Macaca mulatta: one gene and its partner. The protein of the gene in region 2 purifies or fractionates together with the protein of the main gene of each other region. This does not show direct contact. Links are inferred from orthologs where the notes say so. Each region holds a gene or a part of one and is shown on either strand. Other genes may lie near its edges.

What was found.
Region 1: the proteins of PLOD1 (region 2) and HNRNPH2 purify together in Homo sapiens (affinity purification with mass spectrometry; 3 studies listed by BioGRID and IntAct, counting the BioPlex papers as one, with this or other methods). This does not show direct contact. The link is inferred for Macaca mulatta from reciprocal best matches to the Homo sapiens genes PLOD1 and HNRNPH2.

Annotation. Positions count from the first base shown.
Region 1 is NC_133426.1:108,300,128-108,307,105, reverse strand, and holds the end of HNRNPH2 (heterogeneous nuclear ribonucleoprotein H2), read right to left. Parts: intron 3,876-6,978; exon of another isoform or gene 3,855-3,875; 5' UTR 3,802-3,854; coding exon 2,452-3,801; 3' UTR 1,635-2,451; downstream 1-1,634. UniProt on the Homo sapiens protein: This protein is a component of the heterogeneous nuclear ribonucleoprotein (hnRNP) complexes which provide the substrate for the processing events that pre-mRNAs undergo before becoming functional, translatable mRNAs in the cytoplasm. Binds poly(RG).
Region 2 is NC_133406.1:228,789,333-228,796,761, forward strand, and holds the start of PLOD1 (procollagen-lysine,2-oxoglutarate 5-dioxygenase 1), read right to left. Parts: upstream 3,947-7,429; 5' UTR 3,890-3,946; coding exon 3,814-3,889; intron 1-3,813. UniProt on the Homo sapiens protein: Part of a complex composed of PLOD1, P3H3 and P3H4 that catalyzes hydroxylation of lysine residues in collagen alpha chains and is required for normal assembly and cross-linkling of collagen fibrils.

The DNA of each region.
Region 1 (6,978 bases), on a different chromosome or scaffold from region 2:
AGCCCTTCTGAATTTTCTTATCCAGCGAAGAAGAGTAAGTGAACATTTAAGATCACAAGGAGCCCTCCATTGTCTCCTGGGATTTGGTGCCATCTAGTGGCTAACTTGAGAATCTTTGCTCAGACTTAGAGAAACTTCTGGAAAATTAACTAAGTAGCCTGGGAAGGCAAAAACACCTACTTGTTTACCCTCTGAGAAAGGCTTCCTGGACAAGGACTGGCTCAACATGATAGGAGTCAAAATGGGTTTCTTGCTCTCCTGAAAGCTGTGATAAAAATTAGAAGTCATCAAAGAATTTCAATCACGTCCCACTGCATCTTCAGCTTGAATGATTTTCCAGAATTGATTTTCATTTCCTGAATGAAATGGAGTCAGGTAATACCAACTTGGTATTTGCCTCCCATCTCATTTCTCTGGGTCCCAAGCTCTGAACAGCCCAAGTATAGCAATACAGTTCCCAAGGGGTCAGTGAAACTACAAAGAGATCTGTAGTTCAAGATACAGTTGGTACTGATCAGAGGGACATTGGGGTCTTAAAGTCATTGAGGGGTGGAATTGTTAATGACCACTGTGATCCAGACAAAAATCTAAGACATCAGCACACAATGCCACAGGTGCTCAGAATCCTCATGAGAGGTGCAAGGTATTGTAAACATGTGGTTTGGACTTTAATAGAAAACTTAAACTACTTGTTATGGGAACAAAGGGGAGGCGATCAGGGATCATAAAGGAAGCTGCTCCTTAAAGTTGTTTGGGGAACTGTGATGGGTCTCAAAACATGGTCTTGAGACCAGCAGTATCAGCACATTCTCAAGCAACATCCCAAAACTACTGAACTGTAAACTCTAGGGATGGGGCCTAGAAATGAATGTTTAAACAACCCCTGCAGATGATTCTGATGCACATGAAAAGTTTGAGAACGCTGGTTTAAGATAAGCTTTAGATGCCCTAAAATACACCTGAGAGTGTTTAGAGAATCTCCTAATGAATTCATGGAGGAGACAATTTATTTCCTTAACATAAGCCTGCTTCTTTTTTATGTTTTGTTTTTGACACATAATTGTAAGCCTACTTCTTTTTTAACATACAAAGGTGCCTTCTAGTTTGTGATGAAATACAAAGGATTATTTATTCGCTTTCACTTCTTTGGATTTTAGAGAATACTATCTTGGTAAGTGGCTCCAAAAGTAGCTCAATAGTCCTGTAGACATGGTAAGTTTTTTTAAAAAAGAAGAAAATGTTCAACTTTAATATTAATCAAAAAAATACAAATTAAAATTGCAATGAGATATCATTTCTCAACTAACAGACTGGCAAAGATCACAAAGAATAATGTGCATCAATAAGGAGGGCATAAGGGGGAAAATAAAGCACACACTCCAGGTAAAAAGATAAAGTACCAGAATCTTGCTGGTAACACAAATCAGAAGCCTTAAAAATGAGTGTATCTTTGACTCAGCAATCCCATTTCTAGGGATATATCTTAGAAATAATTAATGATATATGCAACAATGAACATATAAAGATGCTAAATATATTGTTTATAATTTTAAAATTAAAAATTTTAATTTTGAGGGAATTATAAAGTCAATCAGCGTGCCCATATGACAGAACATAATAAAAATCAATCAGCACAAGATTTTTTCCAGTTTTTAAAAGGAAGATTTATTTAACAAGTTTCACTTAGTACAATACATCTAAATGGAAATCACAATACAAGGAAAGATTTAAACCAAAGCCTCAGAATTTCATACAAACAACACGACCAAACTTCTAAAGTATTGGTATTACATCTTAAAATTGTCCCGTATCCTTCAAAAAAAAAAAAAAAAAAAAAAAAAAAGTGTACACTCACGTGCCTTACAGGATATTAAACCAAAAAGCTAGAATTAACAAACATGCCAAATGTTTTCACTTTGAATCGTAGACACAGCTCCTATATTTGAGTTTTACAGAAAAGCATGTTTCTCAACATGCATCCGAAGTTTTCAATGTATTTGTGGTATAAGAGCAACATTTAACATAAGTGAAACTGCATTAACCTAAATACGCTTACTGCTTAGGTACACTCCTACAACATAACTAACTTGAGGAAAGCTAAAAATTGTTTTAACAGTTATGGTCAATACTGAACTTTGTTATTATGTCCTAGATGAATGTTTCAGTGTTCAAAATTACTGAGCTTGAAGTTTTAAAATAATCTCAACTTCCACTTTACAGTAAGCATGAATCACAAGCCTGTAATGCAAAACTGTTAAACTTAACTCTTGTTTTCTTAAAAAAGGAGAAAGAAAGATAAAGAAAGAGAAGCTGACCAAGAGTGATCAGAATCAATTATATTTCCCATTTACCAATCATACTGGATATACTAGACATCCCTCCCATTCTATTCAACTCCCACAAATGTACAGCTTTTATATATGGAGTAGCTGTTTGGTGCTCCTTCTCTACCTAAGCAAGGTTTGACTGATAGTCACTGGAATTTTCCTGCAGAACTTGGTCATATCCACTCATACTGCTCTGACCACCATAACCACCTCCATAACCACCACTCAGCTGCTGGCTAGCAGGACCTCCATAACTAGACTGGTTGGATAAGCCCATCCCTCCCATCATTTGGCTACCATAAGCCCCACCACTTGCCCCTGCTGTAGAATTCAAAAAAAGTTCTACATAGCTGTGATCGTAAGCACCCCCACTTGTTCCTGCAGTAGAATTTAAGAAGAGCTCCACATATCTATGTTGCATATTAGCTTTGTCTTTTGCCATAGCTGCCACAGCATCTTCATGAGTAGCAAATTCAACATCTGCCTCACCAGTAACTCTGCCATCGGGTCCAATTTCAATATGTACTCTCATGGGATTAAGAGGTGAGAAGAAATTATAAATATCATTCTCAGTGGCTCTGTAAGGTAACCCCCTCATGTGTACACAGTGCCCTGTGGTGCTCTGGAAACTGGACCCACCATCTCCATATCTATGATCAGACATTCCTGAAAAACAGTAATTGAGGTCTCTTCCAAATCTATCAGACCCAAAGCCATATCCATCATTATAGCCACCATAGTCATCATAGCCTCCATACCCTCCACCGTAGGCACCACGCCTCATCCTTTCAAACCCAGCTCCTCTGCCAATGCTATTATACCCTCTGCCAGCCCCCGGCCTATCATAGGGACCTGGCCGCTGCATAGCCATGAGCTTTCGAGGGGGATCATAGTGGGTTCGAACTTCAGCTCGGCTACTCTTGAAGATCTCAATGTACCTGTGCCCTATTCTTTCCTTGTGTTTCTTTAAGGCCTTCTCAGCTATCTCCTGCGAAGCAAACTGCACAAAGGCTTCCCCTGTGCTTCGCCCCTGAAAGTCCACTGGCAGTGTCATCCCATTTGGCACAATTTCCAACCCTGAAAAGAACTGAACAATCTCTTCCTTGCTACAGCCAAATGGGAGTCCTCTAAGCCGGACGAAGCCATCGTTGGCAGTATCAGGGCTATTCGGACCTGTATGCTTCAACACCCAATCCATTTCAACACTGTTAGACTTGAATACTTCAACGTATCTGTGTCCCATGGTTTCTCTGTCCTTCTTCAAAGCCAATTTCACTTCCTCTTCAGATTCAAGTTCAACAAATGCTTCACCACTTGGTCTGCCTTCTCTGGTGTAGATGAAACGAATACCTGATGTGCCATTTTGGATCTTGCAATCAGAGAAGAAGCGCATCACTTCATCGGCTGAGCAGGACCAGGGTAGGCCCCTGACCTTCACCACGAACCCCTCCCTGCCTTCCGTGCTCAGCATCATGGTGACTGTTGGGCTCTTGGTGGCAAGTTTGGCTCAATGCAATTTTAGTGTAGCTGAAAAAAAAAATTAGAAGACTACTGTCATGGAAAAATGCCCGTGATATAGTAAGATAAAAAAGCAAACTATTAATAGAAAATTCAACTATGCTGACAGCTTTTCTGTAAGATGTCTGTATAAACAAAGAGTTCACCAAATTTTTAACTCATTCATTTTTTAAGTTATTTATTCAATGCCTATTACATGTTGGATACCATTAAAAATTAATAGCAATCGGCCGGGTGTGGTGGCTCACGCCTGTAATCCCAGCACTTTGGGAGGCTGAGGCGGGTGTACCACCTGAGGTCAGTAGTACCACCTGAGGTCAGGCGGGTGTACCACCTAGAGGTCAGAGACCAGCCTGGCCAACATGGTGAAACCCTGTCTCTACTAAAAATACAAAAAATTGGCTGGGCGTGGTGGCAGGCGCCTGTAATCCCAGCTACTTGGGAGGCTGAGGCAGGAAAACCACTTTTATGTACCCAGGAGGTGGAGGTGAGCCGAGATCACGCCACTGCACTCCAGCATGGGCCACCAGAGCGAAACTAAGTCTCAAAAAATAAATAAATAAATAAAATAACATCAACAAATCAGTGGGATAGGTCAACAAATAAAAGATAGCTATATCTGAATATACACACATAAAAAACTTCACTAGATCAAAAGATTAAACAACAATTAAAACATTAAAACACAAACAAAACACAGGTTATATACGTTCTTTATATAATCTCCTTATATACAAATGTATGCAAATCAATAAAATCAGGGAAATATTTGGGCTTCAGAGATAAATGAAAAAAAGACATTATTGGGAATTCACACATTCATTTTAGAAATATTTTTTAGTTGCCATGTCCAATACTCAGCTCTGGCATACAAGAATCAATAAGCCCAGAAAGGGCTTATGATCCTACAGGAGCACCAAATATCATTATTAAAGATGTAAATGCAAATATACATTATACTTGCCATGACCCTCTGGGTGGGGTATAAGCATAGTATCAAGGAGGGACTAGTTGATCAGTTCTATTGGTTGGAGGTCAAATGGTTAAATGAAACAGACTAACCTGCCCAGGGATCCATAAACGATTTTTTAAAATTATGATAAAGCACAAATAGGAGAGGGAAAAGCAAGAGAAAAGGCTGGCAAGGCATAGATCAGATCCCAAAGACTTTTATGCAGTGCTTAGTTAAGACTGCATAAAAAAACTGGAAAAATAACATGGAAAATCCATAAACCTACCACTCAGAGTAACCACTAATATGTTCATTCTAACTTAAAAAAATCCCAGTGCAGCAAATTTAAAGAATTAAAACTGTATAGAAGTATATACACACTATATACACTAAGCACCTTTTAAGACTTTTAAACCGGGGAGTTTGTGGGGTGACTTCACCAAAACTCTTTCAGACAGATCACCCCGGCAACAGTGTGGTACTCAGAGGTGGAACTAGGGAGATTAGTTAGAACTTGTCTCTTAAATATACGTTAAAGGAATCGCCTAAGGCAACAGGAGTAAAATGGAGAAAAGCTATATCTACACATACCAAAAAAAGTGGAATCTGCGGGACTTGATAACAGATTAAGTATGAGAGAATACAGGTATAGGAGGATACAGGAGAGCAATCTGGGAAATGTTCAAATTTAATCAATCTTCCAGTAAGTTAAAACCAGAACTAATCATTATTTTTCACCCATCAAGATTATGGAAATTAAACGGTGACAGTAAATCAGTGCTATGCAGAGTTCACAAACTAATAATACACTACTAGAGGAGTGGTAATTGATATAAACTATTTCCTTTTTGATAAATCCCACTATATCCTGAAAGCAATTTGATAATATGTATCACGCCTTTTGACAGCAAATACATTTCAGTTATGTGCCCTAAGGAGATGATCTGAAATTCAGACAAAGATTTATGGAGCTATATATTCTTTGAAAAGTACTTTATTAAGAAAACTGGAATATTATGCATTTAATTTTAAAAGTTACAAAAATATTTAATAACATGAGAAATTACTTATGCTATAATTATAAGTGACCCAAGAGCACAGCTGCTTTACAATCTCAACTATGTACAAAATACATATTCCCATACCCTTTGACACTGCTAGAATCCTTCCAGGAATCTAGTCAACAGAAATACTTAGGAATGTTCCTTGCAGCACTGTTAGTAAAGGCAGAACATTGGAAAGCTAAATAGCCATCATTAGAGGAATGGCTGAATGAATTATACCTTATCCTTAAAATGGAATGCAATGCAGCCATTTAAAAAAAAATCTATCTGCCTTGACCCAGAAAGATCTCCAAAATACACTAAATGAAAGAACATACATAGTATGATCCTACTTATAGTAAAAGATTAGCATGCATGTATATACGTATGTAAATAAATAAAAGAAGATCTGGAAGCAAACTTGTTTTTGAGAGAACTGAAGGGTAGGGGGAGTGAAGTGGGCTTTTCGCTTTTTACCCTATATACTTCTATACAGTTTTAATTCTTTAAATTTGCTGTACTGGGATTTTTTTTAAGTTAGAAAGAACATATTAGTGGTTACTCTGAGTGGTAGGTTAATGGATTTTCCATGTTATTTTTCCAATTTTTTTATGCAGTCTTAAATTTCTACAGAAATAATTACTTTTACTTCAGCAAAAAAGCAACATAAAACAAATTAAAATGTTTGCATTTCTGGGATTTGGTATAGGAAATTTTATAAAATTGTCCAATTTTGAATGTGGATGGTTATCTGATATGGTCTGTGAGCATTGGGCCTCTTGGAAACAAAGTACAAAGTGTAATAACGGCCATAAAACTACACTGAGGAAACGATTTAACATTTACTGATTGCATATTAAGTGCCTAGCAGACTGCATCTGCAGTGATAACAGTTTTCCTATTAACCATCCTAAGGTCTCAGTGACAGATTTACAGGCTGTTTTTTATTACATTTTGTACAATTTTTTTTTTTTTTTTTTTTTTTTTTTGGCTTGCCTTATCCCTGGGATAACCCGTCCCATTTAATTCCCTGCACCACTCTATCCCTTAAGAGCCCTTCTGTAGGGGCAGAGAGGTTCTACTTCATTACTGCGTCTCCTGGGAAGGCCATCAGGACTGCTGGCTCAAGTGGGAACCA
Region 2 (7,429 bases):
ACCTCAGTAGCTGACCCTCCCATCCACCTGCCAGGGAAAGGAAAGAGCTGGCCTCTCTGGGGGGCTGCTGGGGTGCCCCCCACCAAACACATACACTAGTCAGTGGGCTGCTTAGGCAATGCCTGCAGGGAAGATGAGCAATCCACTCTGTCCTGTCCAGCTGGCTGAAGGTCACGCCTCAGCTGGGTCTGGGGGAGCTGAGCAGGCTCCCCCAGGCAGCATTTCCAGGCAATAGCACCCCCTTCCCATCCAGAGGTGCAGAAATGAACAGTAGATCTGAGTTCCAGACAACAACCCCACCCCCAACCAGCTCTGGCAACGAGAGACCAGATGTTTAACCTTCCAGGGCCTCAGTCTTCCCATCTCCAAAATGGGGTTGATGATTCCTTACTCATCAAAGGGATCCTGGCCAGGCATGGTGGCTCACGCCTGTAATCCCAGCACTTTGGGAAGCCGAGGTGGGCAGATTGCTTGAGGTCAGGAGTTTGAGACCAGCCTGGCCAACACTGCAAAACCCGTCTCTACTAAAAATACAAAAATTAGACAGGCATGGTGGCACATGCCTGTGATCCCAGCTACTTGGGAGGCTGAGACAGGAGAATCGCTTGAACCCTGGAGGCGGAGGCTGCAGTGAGCTGAGATCGTGTCATTGCACTCTAGCCTGGGCAACAAAGTGAGACTCTGTCTCAAAAAAAAAGAAAAAAAAAAAGAAGGAAAGAAAATGAAAAATTGAAAAAAAAAAGGAAAACAGGTAAGGATTCAAATGGAGAAGGGAAGCAAAGGCGCAACTCAGACTGGCCTGACATTAGCCCCAGGCCTGGGGATCCGCTCTCTCGTGCATCAGTGAGCACAGATGTGCTTACTATCTACCAGGTGCTCTACCTGGGTTACATCAGCAGCACACTAATCCTGTCCTCCGCCCACAGCAGCACCCTCCGTGAAGGCTTCCTCAGATCTGCTCTGCCCTCCTCCTGTCACTTGCTGGGGATCAGGGTGCCTAACGCCCTGTCATCAGTCTGGTCCCTCTACAATTCAACTTCCCGGGCTTCATCGTGGGCAGCTAAGGTTTCTCTCCTGGGATGGTCTGGGATGCAGGCAGCCCATGTCAGCAGAAGCAGGGGTATCAAAGGCCCAGAAAACAAGGCCACAACAGGGCTCCTGGCCAGTGAGGGGACCCAGGCCGAGAGCCCTTTGCACGGCCCGGTGGTCAGCGTTTCCGTCACTGGACTTTCTGAGCTGTTTTACTGCCCTGCTGTAAGCCAGCAGCCCTGGGCCCGGGAGAGAAAATGCCCTTTGCCGAGGGCCTTTCATGGGCCAGGCATTGAGCTGAACTCTCCCCAGCTTCATCCCCTGAAATCCTTGTTAGAACTCCAGGCGTGAGGTAGTATCACCAGGTCTTGCAGGCTAGAACACCAAACCTCACAGAGAGCAAGCAGCGCCGGCTTTACCACTGGGAGACGTGGGGCCTTGGGCACAACCTGGCCCAAGGGAGGTACTCAAGAAATGGCAGTTCCTGGCCGGGCGCGGTTGCTCACGCCTGTAATCCCAGCACTTTGGGAGGCCGAGGCAGGTGGATCACCTGAGATCAGGAGTTTGAAACCAGCCTGACCAACATGGTAAAACCCCGTCTCTACTAAAGATACAAAAATTAGCTGAGCGTCGTGGTATCTGCCTGTAATACCAACCACTAGGGAGACTGAGGCAGAAGAATCGCTTGAACCTGGGAGGCGGAGGTTGCAGTGAGCCGAGATCGCACCATTGGACTCTAGCCTGGGCAACAAGAGTGAAACTCTGTCTCACAAAAAAAAAAAAAAAAAGAAAGAAATGGTGGTTCCTGGCTGGGTGCAGTGGCTCCCGCCTGTAATCCCAGCACTTTGGGAAGCCGAGGCAGGAGGATCACGTGAGGTCAGGAGTTTGAAACCAGCCTGGCCAACATGGTAAAACCTCGTCTCTTCTAAAAATACAAAAATTAGCTGGGCATGATGGTGCAGGCGTGTAATCCCAAACTAGTCTGGAGGCTGACACACGATAATTGCTTGAACCCAGGAGGCAGAGGTTGCAGTGAGCCGAGGTCACACCACTGTACTCTAGCCTGGGAGACACAGCAAAACTCTGTCTCAAAAAACAAAAAAAAACCAACAACAACAAAAAAAGAAAGAAATGGTGGTTCCCATCCCTGACCCAAAGACCCAAGGGTCCCAGAACCCAGGATCCTTCTAGTGGTACAGTTTCAGGTTCTCCAAGAGGGTAGGCTGAAGGAGGAGAACGCCACGGAAGCTACCGTCAGTTCTGCTTGGCTTTGCTGGGACTGTCTGCAGTCTATGCCCTTCTCGGGACAGCCCTGCAGAGGGCCCATGCCAGGGAGGGCTGGGGAGGAGGGAAGCACCCACTCAGGACAGTGGGACACACACTGCAATCCAATCGGCCTTGAGGAAGTAGAAGGAGTGCTAGACTGGTGCCCAGCTGACCTCGGACCAGCCACCTCTGTCTGGACCACCCTGGACAGTCACTTCATCTGTCTGGGCCTCAGTTTCCTCAAGTATAAACTGCAGAGAGGGCCAGGCGCGGTGACTCACACCTGTAATCCCAGCACTTTGGGAGACCAAGGTGGGCAGATCACCTGAGGTCAAGAGTTCAAGACCAGCCTGGTCAACATGGTGAAACCCCATCTCTACTAAAAATACAAAAATTAGCCGGCATGGTGGCACATGTCTGTGATCCCAGCTACCTGGGAGGCTGAGGTACAGGAATTGCTTGAACCGGCTGGGTGTGATGGCTCACGCCTGTAATCCAAAGACTTTGGGAGGCCAAGGCAGGCGGATCACGAGGTCAGAAGTTCAAGATCAGCCTGGCCAGCATGGTGAAACTCCATTTCAACTAAAAATACAAAAATTAGCTAGGCATGGTGGCGTGTGCCTGTAATCCCAGCTACTTGGGAGGCTGAGGCAGGGGAAACACTTGAACCCGAGAGGTAGAGGTTGCAGTGAGCTGAGATTGCACCACTGCACTCCAGCCTGGGCGACAGAGCAAGACTCCATCTCAAAAAAAAAAAAAAAAAATCGCCTCTACCTGGGAGGCAGAGGTTGCAGTAAGGCGAGATCACACACTGCATTCCAGCCTGGGCGACAGAGCAAGACTCCGTCTCAAAAATAAATAAATTAATTAAATAAAATAAAAAAATAAACTGCAGAGAGGAAGACCACCCTGGCAGGGGCTCAGCAGACCACAGGGGACATGGGTGAAAGCACAAACTGCTCCACAAAGTGAGCCACACCTTCTACCCCCATCCCTCCCCTGTCCCCCTCAAGACCCCTCACTCCCATGGTCATGAGGCCTCCTGGCTCTGGAACCAGACACCTGGGTGGGTGGGGTAAATCCTGGTTCCAAGGCCCACAAGTTGTATGATCTTGGGCAAGTGAATGAACTCTGGAGCCTCAGTTTGCCCAGCTGGAAAACGGGGATAATAGAAGGAAACACTTACCAGGGTAGCAATCATGCCTAACTGATGCCTTGCCCATAGTGAGCACTCCGCAGAATAGCCATTGCCGGTTATTATTATGAGAACTATTATTATTTGAGCCTTTCTGTGCTGAATGGAACTCAGCTGTCACCCTTTCTTTCCCGAAGGAGGAACCGCAGCCCCAAGAGGGGAAGTGATTTGTTCAAGTCACCAGGGAGTAAGTGGACGAGGAACCGGAACCCAGACTCCCTCTCCAGCCCAGGCCTCCCATTCAGGTCGTTCCCAGGGAGGCAGCCCGGGACCAGACCTCCCGCCCGGATCCGCGCTCCCGCCCCCGGCCTTCGCTCCCTCACCCTCCGGCTTGGCGTCGCCCTTCGCTTCAGCCAGCAGCAGCCAGCCCAGCGGGGCCAGGAGCAGCAGGGGCCGCATGGCCGAGGTATGAGGATGATCGGCCGACCCCGGCGGCGCTCGCAGGGCTGGAAACTTTGCGACGGGGCCGCAGGTCCCGCTGCCACGCACTGGGCCCGCCCCGGGGGCGGCAACGCCCCGCCCCTCCACGCCCTCCCCACCGCCTTCCCCGGGGGGAGGGTTTTTCTGCAGATGTGCCCAAGCCCTGGCCTCTCCCTGTCGGGGCAGCTCCCACCGCCTGTCTGTGCAGCTCCCGGGACTTCTGCCAGGCCCTGCCTCCTCCTTCCCTTCTCTGGGGGGTTCACTCCGACTAGGAAGAGGGCGGTGAGAGGAGGGCGAGGCCACGATTTCTAGACCCCAGGTTCTGGGCCGACGCTCCATGGCATCGATAACCGTGAGCCCCTGTTTGCTCGCCTGAAAAGTGGGGCTTATGATAGCGTCTGTTCATTGGGTCCTGCACGGGTTAATGGCGATACCTGTAGCGCACTTAGAGCAACCCCAGGTCAAGCTCCAAGGAAGTCAGTTTTCATGATTTCATTAGACCTTCCCCAAACCCAAGAGGTGAGGGTGGGCAGGGATGCGTTCAGAGACACAGACACTCCTACGTGGCCCACCCAGGCACTGGAAATGCAGGAAGCCCGTCTCCATTCTCACCAAAAGGCTATCACTTGATCTACCTTTGTGTCCCTGGGAGGCAAACCTCTGAGCCAAGGAAAGTCTCGCTTCTGAGGTTTTTTTGTTGTTGTTTTGTTTTGTTCCATTTTTTTCAGGCAAAGTTGCGTTCAGTTGCGCAGGCTGGAGTGCAGTGGCATGATCACCACTCACTGCAGCCTCAACCTCCCGGGCTCAAGTGATCTTCCCATCTCAGCCTCCCGAGTAGATGGGATCACAGGCCTGAGCCACCATCCCTGGCTAATTTTTCTACTTTTTTTTTTTTTTTTTTTTTTTTTGAGACGGAGTTTCACTCTTGTTAGCCCAGGCTGGAGTGCAATGGCGAGATCTCCGCTCACTGCAACCTTTGCCTCCCGGGTTCAAGCGATTCTCCTGCTTCAGCCTCCCGAGTAGCTGGGATTACAGGCATGAGCCACCATGCCCAGCTAATTTTGTATTTTTAGTAGAGGCGGGGTTTCTCTATGTTGATCAGACTGGTCTTGAACTCCCGACCTCAGGTGATCTGCCTGCCTTGACCTCCCAAAGTGCTGGGATTACAGGCATAAACCACTGCACCTGGCCAATTATTCTACTTTTTGTAGAGACAAGGGTCTCCCTATGTTACCCAGGCTGGTCTCGAACTCCTGGACTCAAGGGATCTTCCTGCCTCCCAAAGTGCTGGGTTACAGGCTGAGCCACCACACCCTACAGAGATTAATTGTTAAATGAATAAACGAATCAGTGAAAGTTTTTAGGGCCTCTTCACAGATGCCCAAAGCCCAACAAACAACTCAATAGTCTCTAGAGTAAGGGCTTCTGGACCAGATGTCAGACAGGGGCCGCCACCTCTGAACAAAAATCCTTCCTTCCTTGGAAGAAACCTCAGACAGAGGCCAGGCACGGTGGCTCACGCCTGTAATCCCAGCACTTTGGGAGGCCAAAGCGAGTGGATCACAAGGTCAGGAGTTCAAGACCTGTTTGACCAACATGGTTGAAACCCTGTCTTTACTAAAATACAAAAATTAGCCAGACTGGTGGTGCGTGCCTGTAATCCCAGATACTCAGGAGGCTGAGGCAGTAGAATCGCTTGAACCCAGGAGGCAGAGTTTGCAGTGAGCCAAGATTGCACCACTGCACTCCAGCCTGGGCGATAGAGCAAGACTCTGTCTAAAAAAAAAAAAACCTCAGACAGGGACCCAGGAGCCCTTTTCCCAGCTAATTAGGCTCCAGAGGAGTGGGTGGCAGGTGCAACCCAAGGCTGGCAGGGGGCAAAGGGGTGGGAGAGAAGGAATGTCACGAATGTCAATGGACGACATAGAGCAGGCTATGCATCAGTGCTGGGAAAAGATTTAAATCAACAGCATTCAGATGGGCTGGGTGCGGTGGTTCATGCCTGTAATCCCAGTACTTTGGGAGGCCAAGACAGGTGGATTGCTTGAGCCCAGGAATTCAAGACCAGCCTGGGCAATGTGGTGAAACCCCCTTCTCTACTAAAAATACAAAAATTAGCTGGGCATGGTGGCATGTGCCCATAGTCCCAGCTACTCAGGAGGCTGAGTGGGGAGGATCACTTGAGCCTGGGAGGTGGAGGTTGTAGTGAGCCATGATCGCACCACTGCACTCCAGCCTGGGCAAGTGAGTCAGACCCTGTCTCAAAAAAACAAACAAACCAAAAAATAAAAATAAAAACAAAACAGCATGCAGATACTGCAGCCAGGGAAATACACTACCCGTATGATGTTAAGTGGAAAAGCAGAATATACAGTATGGTTCCACTCAGTAAAAATACATTCTTTTTTTTTTTTTCTTTTTTTTTTGAGATGGAGTCTTGCTCTGTAGCCCAGGCTGGAGTGCAGTGGCGCGATCTCGGCTCACTGCAACCTCTGCTTCCCGGGTTCAAGCAATTCTTTGCCTCAGCCTCCCGAGTAGCTGGGATTACAGGTGCCTGCCACCATGCCCAGCTCATTTTTGTATTTTTAGTTGAGATGGGGTTTCACCATCTTGGCCAGGCTGGTCTGGAACTCCTGACCTCGTGATCCACCCGCCTCGGCCTCTCAAAGTGTTGGGATTATAGGCGTGAGCCATCGTGCCTGGCCAAATATATATTCTTATCAATGTATACATGCATAGAGACAATGCTAGAAGAAAATTATAGCCAAGTGTTTACTGTGATTATTTCCAGGTTGTGGGATTATTTCATATTTATATAATTTTTCATGTTTTATATTATTTCTAGGTAGTTATTTTGTTATTCATATTTTTCATTTTTTTTTCAATAAACATATACTATTTGTAAAATTCAAACAAAATTGGCCGGGCACGGTGGCTTATGCCTGTAATACCAGCACTTTGGGAGGCAGTGGCAGGCAGATCACCTGAGGTTGGGAGTTCGAGACCAGCCTGATCAACATGGAGAAGCCTTGTCTCTACTAAAAATACAAAATTCTCCAGGCATGGTGGTGTGTGCCTGTAATCTCAGCTACTTGGGAGGCTGAGGCAGGAGAATTTCTTTTTTTTTTTTTTTTGAGACGGAGTCTTGCTCTGTCACCCAGGCTGGAGTGCAGTGGCCGGATCTCAGCTCACTGCAAGCTCCGCCTCCCAGGTTTATGCCATTTTCCTGCCTCAGCCTCCCAAGTAGCTGGGACTACAGGCGCCCGCCACCTCCCCCAGCTAGATTTTTTTTTTTTTTTTTTTTTTTTAGTAGAGACGGGGTTTCACCATGTTAGCCAGGATGGTCTCGATCTCCTGACCTCGTGATCTGCCCGTCTTGGCCTCCCAGAGTGCTGGGATTACAGGCTTGAGCCACTGTGCCTGGCCCGGAGAATTTCGTGAACCTGGGAGGCGGAGGTTGTGGTGAGCTGAGATCGCCCCATTGCACTGCACTCTAGCCTGGGCAAGAAGAGCAAAACT